3 linked regions of the Rattus norvegicus genome follow. The protein of the gene in region 1 purifies or fractionates together with the protein of each later gene. This does not show direct contact. Links are inferred from orthologs where the notes say so. Each region holds a gene or a part of one and is shown on either strand. Other genes may lie near its edges.

The links. Proteins that work in one complex are often made in the same cells at the same time.
Region 2: the proteins of Arhgef12 (region 1) and Gipc1 purify together in Homo sapiens (co-immunoprecipitation; 4 studies listed by BioGRID and IntAct, with this or other methods). This does not show direct contact. The link is inferred for Rattus norvegicus from reciprocal best matches to the Homo sapiens genes ARHGEF12 and GIPC1.
Region 3: the proteins of Arhgef12 (region 1) and Vapa purify together in Homo sapiens (affinity purification with mass spectrometry; 5 studies listed by BioGRID and IntAct, counting the BioPlex papers as one, with this or other methods). This does not show direct contact. The link is inferred for Rattus norvegicus from reciprocal best matches to the Homo sapiens genes ARHGEF12 and VAPA.

The regions. Positions count from the first base shown.
Region 1 is NC_086026.1:52,369,577-52,373,786, reverse strand, and holds the start of Arhgef12 (rho guanine nucleotide exchange factor 12), read left to right. Parts: upstream 1-1,410; 5' UTR 1,411-1,506; coding exon 1,507-1,538; intron 1,539-4,210. UniProt on the Homo sapiens protein: May play a role in the regulation of RhoA GTPase by guanine nucleotide-binding alpha-12 (GNA12) and alpha-13 (GNA13). Acts as guanine nucleotide exchange factor (GEF) for RhoA GTPase and may act as GTPase-activating protein (GAP) for GNA12 and GNA13.
Region 2 is NC_086037.1:41,381,143-41,385,129, forward strand, and holds the start of Gipc1 (PDZ domain-containing protein GIPC1), read right to left. Parts: upstream 2,801-3,987; 5' UTR 2,763-2,800; coding exon 2,475-2,762; intron 1,784-2,474; coding exon 1,598-1,783; intron 1,504-1,597; coding exon 1,323-1,503; intron 686-1,322; coding exon 573-685; intron 1-572. UniProt on the Homo sapiens protein: May be involved in G protein-linked signaling.
Region 3 is NC_086027.1:112,651,932-112,655,988, forward strand, and holds the start of Vapa (vesicle-associated membrane protein-associated protein A), read right to left. Parts: upstream 2,801-4,057; 5' UTR 2,570-2,800; coding exon 2,491-2,569; intron 2,292-2,490; exon of another isoform or gene 2,095-2,291; intron 1-2,094. UniProt on the Homo sapiens protein: Endoplasmic reticulum (ER)-anchored protein that mediates the formation of contact sites between the ER and endosomes via interaction with FFAT motif-containing proteins such as STARD3 or WDR44.

The DNA of each region.
Region 1 (4,210 bases):
AGATCCTTTCTCTACAGCCTTTTCTGGCTATCTGCCACCCCCTTCTCCTTTCTGCGGGGCGAGGCCAGCAGGTGCCCCAGGTGAGTGTCCCATCCCCAAACCTGTGTGTGTGTGTGTGTGTGTGTGTGTGTGTGTGTGTGTGTGTGTGTGTGTGTGTGCTGGTTTGCCTAACACTGTCGGGGCCGGTGGACTTGGACTTGTATGCAGTCATCAAAAGCATTTGACACCGGGAACGAATACATTCTCTTAAAGAATAAAAGTTTCCAGCACAAGAGGGGCGGGGAGTTCCCGAAGACCCTCTAGACGTGAACTCCTCGAGATTGTGGAATGGCTCCTCCGCTGTCCCGAGTGGAACCTATACTGTTGACTGCACCTCGAGAGCATTCAAGGATCATGAAGGCAGGGGTTGGTGGCGGAGGAAGAAGCCACCCGCTTCGCCACACAGAACTACTTTTTCGCTCCCCTCTATCCCCCGCGACAGTGCTGCGCGGAAGCATCCGCGCAAGTTTGGAGAGTCCGGGAAGCGGAGGGATCCCGCGTGAAGCGGCTTCCCGAAGTCCCAGGGAGAAGGGCCCAAAAAGTAGGTGGGGGAGGGGACGGCTAGGCGCGCTCCAGTCGCGCTGGGCCGAGGGGACAGAACCGGAACCGGAACCCGCGCGCGCGCCCGCAGCAGTCGCAAGGCTCGTCACCGCCGGCGGCCCCCTCCGCCCTGTGCGCGCTCCCGCGAGTGCCCCTAAGACCGGGCGAGCGGCCCTGCGCACCGATCCTCCGCCGCTGCCCCCGCTGCTCGGGGGCTGGGCTTCCGGGCCGGGCCGGGACCTCCCGCTCCTCGCGGGAGCCGCCGCCTACCAGAGCGTCGGGGAGGAGCCGCCGTGCCACTGCGGAAGAAACGCGGGGGCCTCCGAGGGATGGGGAGCTGCCCCGGGCGCTGAGACAGGGTCCCTGTCAGCGAGGCGGCCGGAGCCGGGTGGGGGCGGCGCGGAGCAGCTCAGGGCCTTCGGTCGGGGGACATGGGGCGGCGCGAGCCCGGCGCGGGACGGCGCGAGACGCGGCGGAGGTTGCGGCCACGAGCGGCCGGCAGCCCCAGATAGAGCCGGGACCCGAGGGCCGGGCCCCGCCGACTCGGGACAGGAGCCGACGCCCGTCCTCGAGCCTATTCTGCCCCAGCCCCGGAGGGATCCGGGTTCCCTTCCTACGGCTCGCGACTTCCCTCTGTGACGAAGTTTTCTCCCGGTGCCTTCCTGAGGATCCTTCTTAGTTCTTGAGCTCGCCTTGTGGCCGACTTGCTCGGTTTGTTTGGGGAGATAACTTGTTTTGCTTCAACCCGCATCCCCTTTCCTTGACCCTTTGCAATCGGATGTTCTAGATGACTGAATGGAGTTTTGAGTTGGACTTTTGTGTCCCTGCCGAAATTGGGCCTGATCCCAGAGTACTGGGGGTGGGGTGTGGAGGTGTTACTGTAAAATGCAAGTTGGATAAAAAGAAGACCTCTCGCCAAGGGCCCCAATGAGTGGCACACAGTCTACTATCACGGACAGGTGGGTATGAAGTTCCTCCGTTGCTAACCTTTCCTGGATTCGGCCCCACGCAGCAGGGGAGTCGGTGATTGCAGATCTGCCTTCAGCTAGTGCAATTGACAGGCATAGGAAAGAGGGTTGTTTCGGAGCTGTGCAATTAGTCTAGGGTTGCTGCCAAGTTATCCGGTTGATTGAATTTGGAAATGCAGTTTTTCGGGAGAGAAACTTTCCCCCATATTCCCAGAGGAAATGAAGGGAAACCATGATTGTGTTTTTTTTTTTTTTTTTTGGTCGGGTGCATTAAGATCGTGTACTCATTTTGGAACCAGAGGGAGGTCATTTTGGGTGAAGGTCAGTGCCTGAGGTCGGTGGGGATCGGTGCATGATCGGGTTGATTCCTGTGGTAGTTCTAGCCTCAAACTTTTAGGAGTTTCTGTCTGTGGACTTATATCCTGCTGCATGGCGATTGGTGACTCTGATCTCTTTTTACGTGTTGACCTGCACAGTGTTTAATTATTAATTACCTAATTTTCCAGAATGTTGACATTACCAGTAAATCACGGGTTCTTGCTGGGGACAGTTTCCAGGAGCTAAAGGAAATGAGGGAAAATCATGGGGCCTGCTTCTAATTATTCCTTTTTTTTTTTTTTTTTTTTACATTTCATCTTCCAGAAGCCCTAGCATTTAAAGATGTAAGCCCTAGGTCTGGTTTAGGTATGGCAGGTGGATCCTGACAAGGTGTTGCATGTAGAGCATGTAGTCCAAGTGTACTTCTTTGACTTAAGAGATCTGAGTTCTTTTCAGTGAAAGCAAGTTGGTTCCTTTAGCATATTTTTATTTCTCGACTTAATTATGACATTGCATATTACTTCCAAATTTTATCCTGCTTCTTTATGTCAACCTTCAAATCGTTGTCACAAAACAAAACAAAACAAAACAAAAAAGCAGATAATTGGAGCAGAAGGCCAAATGTCTTCAAGAGCGACGTTAGTGCTCCTGCGGGGAGCAGTTCAGTTTCCTAATGAGAGAGGCTCACCCAATTGTGCGTCTCATTTGTTGATTTTTAAAGGGCCAAATTCCATTATCATACCATAACAGCTTCTCCAGAGACAGAACTTCCTTTTCCTGTTGATGCTTTCCAGTGTCACATGAGTGTTCACCTAAAAGATGCCCCTAAATATTTAAAGGACTTATGTTTGCCTTTTGTGTACTTTGTTGGGCAGGATTTCATTTCAGTTTTCCTGCTAATACAGTTCACTTCTGTATAGAGACAGTTGGCACGGGTCTTCCTGCCACCCTACTCCCTCTCCTTTCGAGATGTCCCGCTTCTGAGAAATCACTCGCAGGTGTCCAGATAACCGCTCTGCTGGTTCACTTAGTTCTTGTCTGTCAGTTGAGCCTATAGTTAAGCAGACTTACCAGAAGCTGATGGCAGTCCTGGTTTTTATTAAGATGTTGCAGAGTTTAATTTGTAGAAAACAGAATTTAGAGTCATCGAATCATTCCACACAAAAGTCATACAAAAGCACCCATGGAAGGATTGTTTTTTTTTTTTCCCTCCCTAGCTTTGTTTCTGGGGGATTTTTGTTCTCGTATATAAATACGTTGGACATAAACATTGACATTTGGGTCTTTTGCTTTTTAATAACTTGATTCGCTGTTAAACAGTTCGTTAGTAAACATTGCAGAAGTAAAAGTACAAAAGTAAGTCTTAAAAAACAAATCCCTGTCTGTTTTATTGGTCATGTGTCTGAGTGTGCAGGTATGTGCACCTGAGTGCAGATGCCTTCAGAGGCTAGAAGAGGCTTTAGGATTCCATGGGTGGTTGTGAGCTTGCCTACCCTGGGTGCTGAATATCTAACTTGGGTCCTCTGACCACAGCAAGAACAGTGTGTGCTCCTAACCGTTGTGCCACCTCTTACCCATCCCCATCCCCCCTTCTTAAGGCTTTGCTGTGTGTTACTTGTAGCATGGCAGTCCTCCTCCTGCCTAAGCCTCTTGAAGAGGTGGGCTACCTCCCTGCTGGATTCTTGCTCTTAGATATTTATGTGAGAATGGTGGACGCACATTCTATGGAGTCAAGCGTTGGATCTGCCTCCCTTTCCCCAAGACAGGGTTTCTCTGTGTAGCCCTGGCTGTTCTTCTGTCTGTAGACTAGGCTGGCCTTGAACCCAGAGATCTACCTGCTTCTGCCTTCTAAGTGCTGAGATCAAAGGCATGTGCCACCGCTGCCGAGCTTAAGTCTTTCATCTTTTAACACAGGGGAACAAGTTGTATTGGTGAAGGGGAGCAGTCTAAATACATTAATGCTTTGTGGGGCTTAGGCCCAAATAACTCTTCATCATAAACCTCTACTATGTTGCCTCAGACAGCTGAGCCATGTAAAGTAAGATCCCGGAAGGTTTATTTCAAAACTGTTGGAAATCCTGCTTTCTGTCGGGCAATGAAGTTTGGTGTCTTTTCCCCCCTTTTAAAAGAGAATTACTAAGTGACCACTACTTTTTCTTTTCTTTTCTAAACTTAACTCTGTAACTATACATCCGCCCTTTCCCTTTAAGAGAGTAATAGCTCCTGGTTTGAGTGTACGTTGAAGTGAGATCTGGAAGTGCTGGTTTAGTCACACTTACGCCTTAGCAAAGTTCTTCCTGTAGACTCCAGCTTCTTCTCAGCCCCAGGTACATCTCTTCCTACCG
Region 2 (3,987 bases), on another chromosome or scaffold:
GTGTGTCCTATGTGTCTGCCTGGTGTCTGTGGAGGTCAGAAGAGAACACTGGACCTCTGGACTGGAGTTAAGAGATGGCCACCCGTCATGGGCACTTGGAACTGACCTGTGTGGTCTGCAAGAGCCACACCTCCTATAAACTGCTAAGCCCATCTCTTCAGTCCCAACATCCAGAAATTACCATTCTCATACCCAGACATATTCTAAGTTGCCCAAACTGGCTTTGAACACTTAACTCCTATCCAGTAGCCTGGAGAGGATTATGGGTACGTATCTACACTGGGCTGCCTTTCATCTATTTTCATATAAGAACCTGGTGACAAGGTCTTACGGTTTGAGCGAATGTGAAATCCTCCTGCCAGAAATTCCGTGCTGGCAGCCCTTTTTGTTTACATCGCTAATGTCTGCTCTGACAAGAAGTCACTGAACCTACTGGACAGGGAGGAGACCCCAGGCTGCCCGATGGACCACCGTAGGTCCCAGAGCTGGTAAGAGTAGGCTTAGGCAGAGAGAGGTGTCCTGAGCCTTTCACATAATTAGAATGGTGTCACCGGCCCGGGGGGCTCACTCACCAGATCCTCCACTGTGGCAGGGCCCCGGGATCGGAGCCGGAGGGTCCCTCGGCCAGTGCCCAGTTGTGGGCCTGAGCCAGGGTGACCACCTGATGAACGCTGGCTGATCATATCTGTAGAAGGCAAAGGTAGTGGGGAAAATCAGCCCACGGTAACACAGTACGCAGGCTTCACACAACCACCTCCCACCACCTTCAAAGTTCTGCAGGCTCCTTGGGTAGGGACTGGGTTCCAGCAAGGCAGGACTTTGCATGGATGGTGAGGGGCAGCTAGGGGCCAGACATAAAAGCAGCTGGAGAGAGAATGGAAGGTAGCTTCTATTTGAAGGAGTGAGGGTTGAGAAGGGTGAGTGTAACTGCTGAGTCTCAGATAAGCCCTTTCTACCCACATCAGGGGTGCCTCAGGCCCATTCCTGAGAGTTAGTGAAGCCAGGTAGAAACGGGGGGGGGGGGGGGGCGCCGGGCACAGGAGCCATACAAGGCAGCCAAGCCTCACTTCTCCAGGCTGAGGGGGCTGGCCAGGGTTGGGGGCACTCGGCTGGGCTAATGGCTCCTGGAAGTCGGGTGTGGGGGCGACTTCCTTCTGGCTGGGCTGTCAGCCAGCACTCAGTTCTAGGGTAGGGTGGGGCTGCCCCCACTCTGCACTGCAGGCTTGAGTGCCACCTGCTGGTGGTTCCCAGGACTACAATCTGTATTTCTTAAGAGCTCAAGGTCAGCCCGGTGGGTGGTCCAGGTTGCAAGAATGGCTCACCAAACGCCTTCCGAGGTTCGGTGAGTTTGAGGGTGAAGGTGCGGCCTCGGGGCAGCTCTTTGAGGAGCCTGGCAACCTCATAATGCCGACAGCCCAGCAGGCTCTGCCCGTTGATGGCTTCAATCATGTCACCCACGCTGATGAGCTGGATGTGGTCAATCACACTGCCTTCCTTGATGCGCTGTGGAGGGGCAGGCATCAACCCTGGAAGCTCCACTCTAGGTCCCATTAAAGACCCTGGCCACTGACTAAGGGTGTGCCACCCACCCGGGCACCTTAATGAAGGCATAGCCGGCCCCGTTGTCGGTGATGGTGAGCCCCAGAGCATCCTCAGACTTGAATACTTCCACCTCTTTGCGCTGCCCCTTGACATGGGCAAAGATGAAGTCCTCCAGCCCGATCTGGCCCCCCAGCAGCTTGTCCATATCCACTTTATGGGTGTTGAGGGTACAGAACATCACCTGCAGAGGTGGGGCAAGATGCTCATCCTTCCTCCCTGGGTCCCCTATCCCAGGGACTGGTAACACCCAAAGCCAAGGAGAGGTCCACTGGCACATCAAATGCTATGAGCAGGATTTCTGTCCTGGTAAAAGCTCAAGAGCTAGCTTGACATACAGAGATCACTCGATACTTACTGAGGGGTGAAGGGGGTCTAGACTCCCACCCAGCCTTCCTACCCATCTCCACTTGAATCTCAGTCCCACTGTTGCCCTCCCAGTGGCTTCTCAGCTTCTAGCTTGGAGTCATGCCTCCAGGGCACCCTGGAGAAATAGAAGCTGCTCCTAACACCCTCCCTCCCCCTCTTGAGGTCCCACAGTATTTGGGGCACAAGCTTCCCAATGCCTTGGAAACCCAGCTGCCACCTGTGGCTGTCATCCTCCAGGACACAGGCTACTTCAGACCTGATGGGAAATCAGTATCTGCAGACCCACAATTTACTAGATTACGAGCCTCGTAAGGCCCGTTGGGAAACCCCCCCCATACCTACTAGGGTACAAGTCTCTCAAGGCCTCATAGGAACTCAGTATCCTCCTGTAGCCACGCCTCCTAGGTTCAGGGGCTGCTGGCCAGCAAGGAACACGAGCCCCAGCTCACAGGAATACATGCCCAGGCCTGTGGCTTGCTCTTAAGGGACCGTGGTCCCACTGGTACCTCAGCAGCCGGTAGTCGGAAGGCCTCAGCGATCTTGCCGTACAGCTCCTTGACATTAGTGAAGCCCTCGATGCGGCCCGTGGGGCTGCCGTGGGCCAGCTGGGTATGGAACACGAGGCGAGGCCGGAGGGAAGCAGGAGGTGGGGGCAAACCCATCTGGGATTCCCCTGCTCCACTTCCACCCAGGGGCCCGGGCTCCCCGACGCCCAGCCCACTCCGGCTTGGCTCCGCCTCCTCATTTTCCACCAGAGGTGGTGCTTTTTTCCTTCGCCCCAGTCCCAGTGGCATGAGCAGCCAGAAGTGGGGACTTGGCCGGGAGACCTGCGAAAGGGAATCGGGCTTCACTCTCTGAGTACCAGCCTTGGGTGCCATCCATCACCACCACATGGTATCGACATCAACCAACATGGTTCTATTTTGCGAAGCAATGTTTCTTAACCCAGGGGCCTGGTGCTAGTCAAGTGCTCCACCACCGAACCCCACCGTGTCTGATCACGTGACTCAGGCTCCCAAGCACAGGGAGCCAGGACACCTCCAGCACATTGCGGCCTATATAACGTTGTGTTGCGTTTGCGTTCTGCTGAGGCTTTCATCGCCCCTGCTTGGCTGGCGCTTGTCCACAGAGCTGCAGCTCCTCCCGTACAGTGGAATCTGCTGTACACATTTAAAGCTATGCAAACTCTTCTTCCGCTGTATTGTCTGAAGAGTAACAACACAAGATTCTGTCCATGGTCAGCATAGGTACAAGGCTCTCTCCGAATCGGCCATTTTGGCCTTGTGCATGTGGACCCAAGCTACAAGTCTAGACTGCCTCTTACTTTTTAGTGTGAGGCAGTTATCTCTCAGTTGCTCAGCTGTCCTTGAACTTGCAATCCTCCTGCTTCAGACTGCAGAGTGGATGGGATTACAGGGAAATAGCAGGACATCTGCCTCACCCAAGTATTTTCTGTATACAGTGGATTCAATCTGGGCACCCAGAGCTGATGTGAACGAAGAGAGGTGACTCCAGATAGCTCCGATGCTGGGGTGCAGCTCAGTGGTGGAGCACGTGCTAATGAGGACCCGGTCTCATCCCAGCATCAGAATGAAGCCTCGCACTGCACAGTAATAATCCCCACAGAGATACCCATTACAACCCCACACCCGCTGCTCTGTGACCTCGTTCAATTCTCCTTCTGGATGAGGCATGAGGCCGTTGGTGCATCCTGCCCTGACCACACCCACTGGAGCAGACAACTGAAGGGAAGATAAAATGCTGGATGGCCCTTTACTTTCCATTTCTCTGAGAAGGCTCTCACTCTGTCGTCCAGGCTGGCCTAGAACTCACCAACTCTACCTCTGTTCATCTTGCAGTGTTGGAGCAGATGGAAACCACCAGACACAGTGTCTTTTCATTTTCTATCAGTTGCAGTCATTAATGCTCTGTGCAAAACCCAAGTTTGGGTCTGGTTTATGTAAAAGAAAAAAACAAACAAACAAACAAACAAAAAACCATGAGGAAAGATGCCCTTGT
Region 3 (4,057 bases), on another chromosome or scaffold:
TCCAATTTCAAATCTAAATTATTGGTTAAAGTATTGCTAGAATTTAAGCAACCAAAAATTTTCTTAATGAATCTTTTTATGCTCTAAAAGGTCTGCTTTAGAATTTATTCTACAATCAAGAGACTTATATATATATTACTAGTTATGAGAAGTAAACTACAAAGTTATAACACTTATCAAGTCATTATTCATATTAAAGAAAAACTGTCAATCTCAGAATGGCTGAGTCACTCCTGAAGAAACCACTGTTGAATCCAAATAATTCAAATAAACCTTGCACACAATCAAGTAATTTTGCAAAATGAAATGTATAAACAACCTATACTTAAATGAAAGACATGTAAAGATCAGTTAAATAATTTTTGATATGGTCAACCAAAAGATGCACAGTGGATTCTAAATCACCCTACTTAGTGTAAAGCTGTGCATTGAAATACAGAGGCTTCCACTGTACCAAGTTACCTCTGGCTGACAAAGTAACACTAAGGAGAAAAGCAGCAAACCTCACTTCAACCCTCTGCACCTCTCCCTATCATATCCATCTCTCCCACCTTTCCACAAGTCTGACCGACTGGAGTCTATGCATCTCATCTCACTCCGATTTACTCAACCACTCCCTTTGCATGACTTTCCCCAGGCAACTTCAAGAGCCTTTTCCTTGAGTTTCCTACAGAAAAGAGCTTCTTTCAGACGTGCTCCTGCCCCGGTATCATTTACATGCCTTTTCCACCAGCATTGGGATTTTTGGTAACACAGAGCCTGTTGCATAAACACGGTTGTAATTATTTAATATCAAAAATGAGTGATCTACATGAATACAGCACAATTTCTGGTGGTTTTTAAAACCTGCCTCATAAAATACCTTTCACACATGGCTATGCAGTAAGGAAAATTTGCTCTACACTGTCAAAAGGGGGAAAGCAAACCACACAGAATATCGTCAAGATTTATATTAAATCGCTCCCACTAATGATGGCTACTACAGTACAAATACTCTGAGGACTTCTCAGCAAACTCCGCCCAACTCCCCTCCAAAAAAACTTAAATCAAGCAACCAGAAATTTGCTGCAGCAAAATACACTCGAAATACCGGAGGGTGAGACACTGTCAAGTGTCTCACATGTAGTCCAGGTTTATTTCAAACTTTGGGTGGTTCCTGAACTTCCAAAATGCCGGGATTATAAGTGTGGTTCACGACCCAATTCCAAGCATATTAAAACTGCCTTAAAATCACAATCAAGTTCTTGTCTAGTACGGAGGAACTTGTGAATGTACTGAAACGCCTGCAGGGCATGCTACTAGCAGAATACCACATGTTTAAGTCCTAAACTATTTAAAATATAAAAGTCTTAAGTATCTGGAACTATTTTAAATTGTTCCTACAAGGACAATTCAGCTATTTTCATGTGGACTCACTTTTACACTACTATAATGGGTTTACTTTTTCTTTTCCTACTGGAATCGATATGCGCTTAAGGGAAATTGTTTTCACCAGTTGCTGAAATTAAAACGCAAGGTATTAACTTTCCAAAGGGGGAGGGGGGCACTTTTCATTTAAAGATAGGAAGCACGTGTTCTTTTTAGCTCCTTAAAATGCAGTAAACTGTTCTGTATAACTTTTCGTTTCCTACACACTGAGAAGGCAAACGGCCTCGGATCTGAACAAGGATCACCAAACCAGTGATTGTCTATCACAGTCAGTGCTCCAAAGTCAACAGTTCCAGAGCTGTGTGGCACCTTATCAGCTTTCTCCGGGTATGCTGGGAAACCGCAAACGTAAGAGGGTCACAGACCCTGAGTCGTCTTCAGTAAAAAGACAGTGTGAACTCAAGGACTAGGAGCACAAGGGCTGGGTCCTCCGTACCTAAGGACGAGTCGACGTGACCCAAGGGACCCACTCCCATTAACCTACGACCATGCATGCCCCAGCTGACGCACAGCTTTCTGCCGCGCGCTTGGGGCCGTGCCAACACTCGGGGTCAGTCCCAGCCAGACACTGCTGGGTCTCCCGGCTTGACAGAGTCCGGCACCTGACAGGGAAGACTCCGGGCGAAGCCCGCGGTCTTGAGCGCCTCGCCCGCGGGCCGTGCCTACCCAAAGGCGCGGAACGTCGCCCGCTGGCGCCCGCAGACCCCGGAGCTCTTGCTCCCAGCCTCCGGCTCGCACAGCCTGGACCGCGCCGCGGCCGCCCTGGGGCAAGGACGCCATGCGGGCGGGCGGGCAAGGCGCGGGCGGGCTCCCGCGGCGCCCCCGTGGGCCGCAAGATGGCGGCGGCTCCGGGCAGAGCCCTCCGCGGCGTCCGTCCGGCTCCCTCCCCTCCCCTCCGCAGCCCGGCCCGGCAGCGGCGGACGCCGAGGCGCCGAGCGGAGGGACGCAGCGGAGCCGCGGCTCCGACGTTCGGTCCGGGCGTGGGGGAGGGGAGCGCAGCCCGTCCACCCCGCCGCCGCCCGCCGGCCCCAGCCCCGCTCGGGCGCGTCCCAGCCAGCCTACCTTTGAATTTGAGGTCTGAAGGAGGGTCGAGGACCAGGATCTGCTCGTGCTTCGCCATGGCCCCGGAGGCGGACGCCATAGGAGACAGCGCAGAGCGGGGGCGCGCCCGCGGCGGCGGTTCGCTGGCGGGGGCGGGGGACGGTGGCGGCGCCGGCTCCGCGGAGCTCTAGGACGGGGCCAGGCTCACGATTCCCGAAGCTCCGCGCCTGCTGCCGGGCCGCGGGTCCCGAGGGCTGCCTGTCGGGTCAGCAGCTCCGGGTGTCACAACTGACTCAACCCCACACCAGTCGCCGCGGCCACGCGCACTGCGATCCTCGGCTCCCCACGTGACGGCCTTACGTGTCTCCGTGCGCGCCCCCGCGGCCCAGAGCCCTCGTGTTGGCCCCGCCCTCCGGGCCTAACTGGGCTCGGCGCTGAGCTAGTGCGCCTGCGCACCTCCGACTTGGCCGCAGCTCCCTGCGCCGCGCTGCTGTCAATCTCTGTAGAGCGTGCAGGGGGCGTAGTAGGGCTGTTTGTGGGAGACGGGGTGCGCGGCGCCGGGCGAGGGGCGTCGTTCTTGGCGCCCTGGAGCTGCGAATGCGGGGCTGTAGCGCCGACTACGATGCTACCTCACAGCGTTCCAAGTGGAATTCCGAACGGAAGACAGTCAAGAAGTGCCGGGTACCTCGACTCCCAGCATGCCCCGTGCGGGCGGCGTCTCCGCGGGGGCTGCTGGGAACCGGGAAGGCAACCCGGGTCCGTTGGAGGCGAGTGGGTGGGGCCGCTGACTCTGCTTTTGGCTCGCCGAGGTTGTCTCGTCTGCATTGGAAAAAGAAAAGGGTTTTTGCAGGCTGCCTGGGAGCCAGGCATCCCAGGAGAGACGGCCCTTTGGGAAAGCGGCAGGGCGTGTCCGTCTGGTCTGCCCGGGATTCCTTCCGCCCTCTGCGGACGCGCGCTCTGTTCTAACCCTGCCGTTCCAAAGCTGCCTCCCGGATCTCCCTCCTGCCCAGCAAAGGGAAACACACCTCGCGCAAAAGCAAACGGGTTCCAGGGGAAATCTAGGCCAGGCACAAATAATCAAGGGTAGAAACCAAATGTCTGCTCCTACGGCGTGGAATTCACGTGCTGTATCTACAGTGTGGCTCATTCCAAATCTGTTTGCCTGGTTCTCGTGCCGTGCTAGGGACGAATTTTATCTGCATCACTTAGGAGAGCCTATACCAAATGAGAAAAATTGCCAAGCAAATTGCTGACAGATATTCAGCTCATTGCCAGGGTATCCAGGGACGGGAAGAGCAAACAAAACAAATGGATGTGCTGTAAAAATAAACCTTTATTGTGTCCTATGGTACTGCTTGAATTTAAATCTCTAGGAAGCTCCGTGCGAAACAAAGCACGTATTGATGCTTCTGCCACGGAAAGGCATCCTAGACTGTCTGGAAAGTAAATGTCGAAAATGGGCAGTCTAGAATACAGCTAATTAAACTTTTTCAACTCTCCGTCCCGTCACCTGAGAAATTTTTATGCCACCCTGGGTATATAGGATATAAAATTGTGGTATAAAACATTGATCACAAAAAAAAGTTTG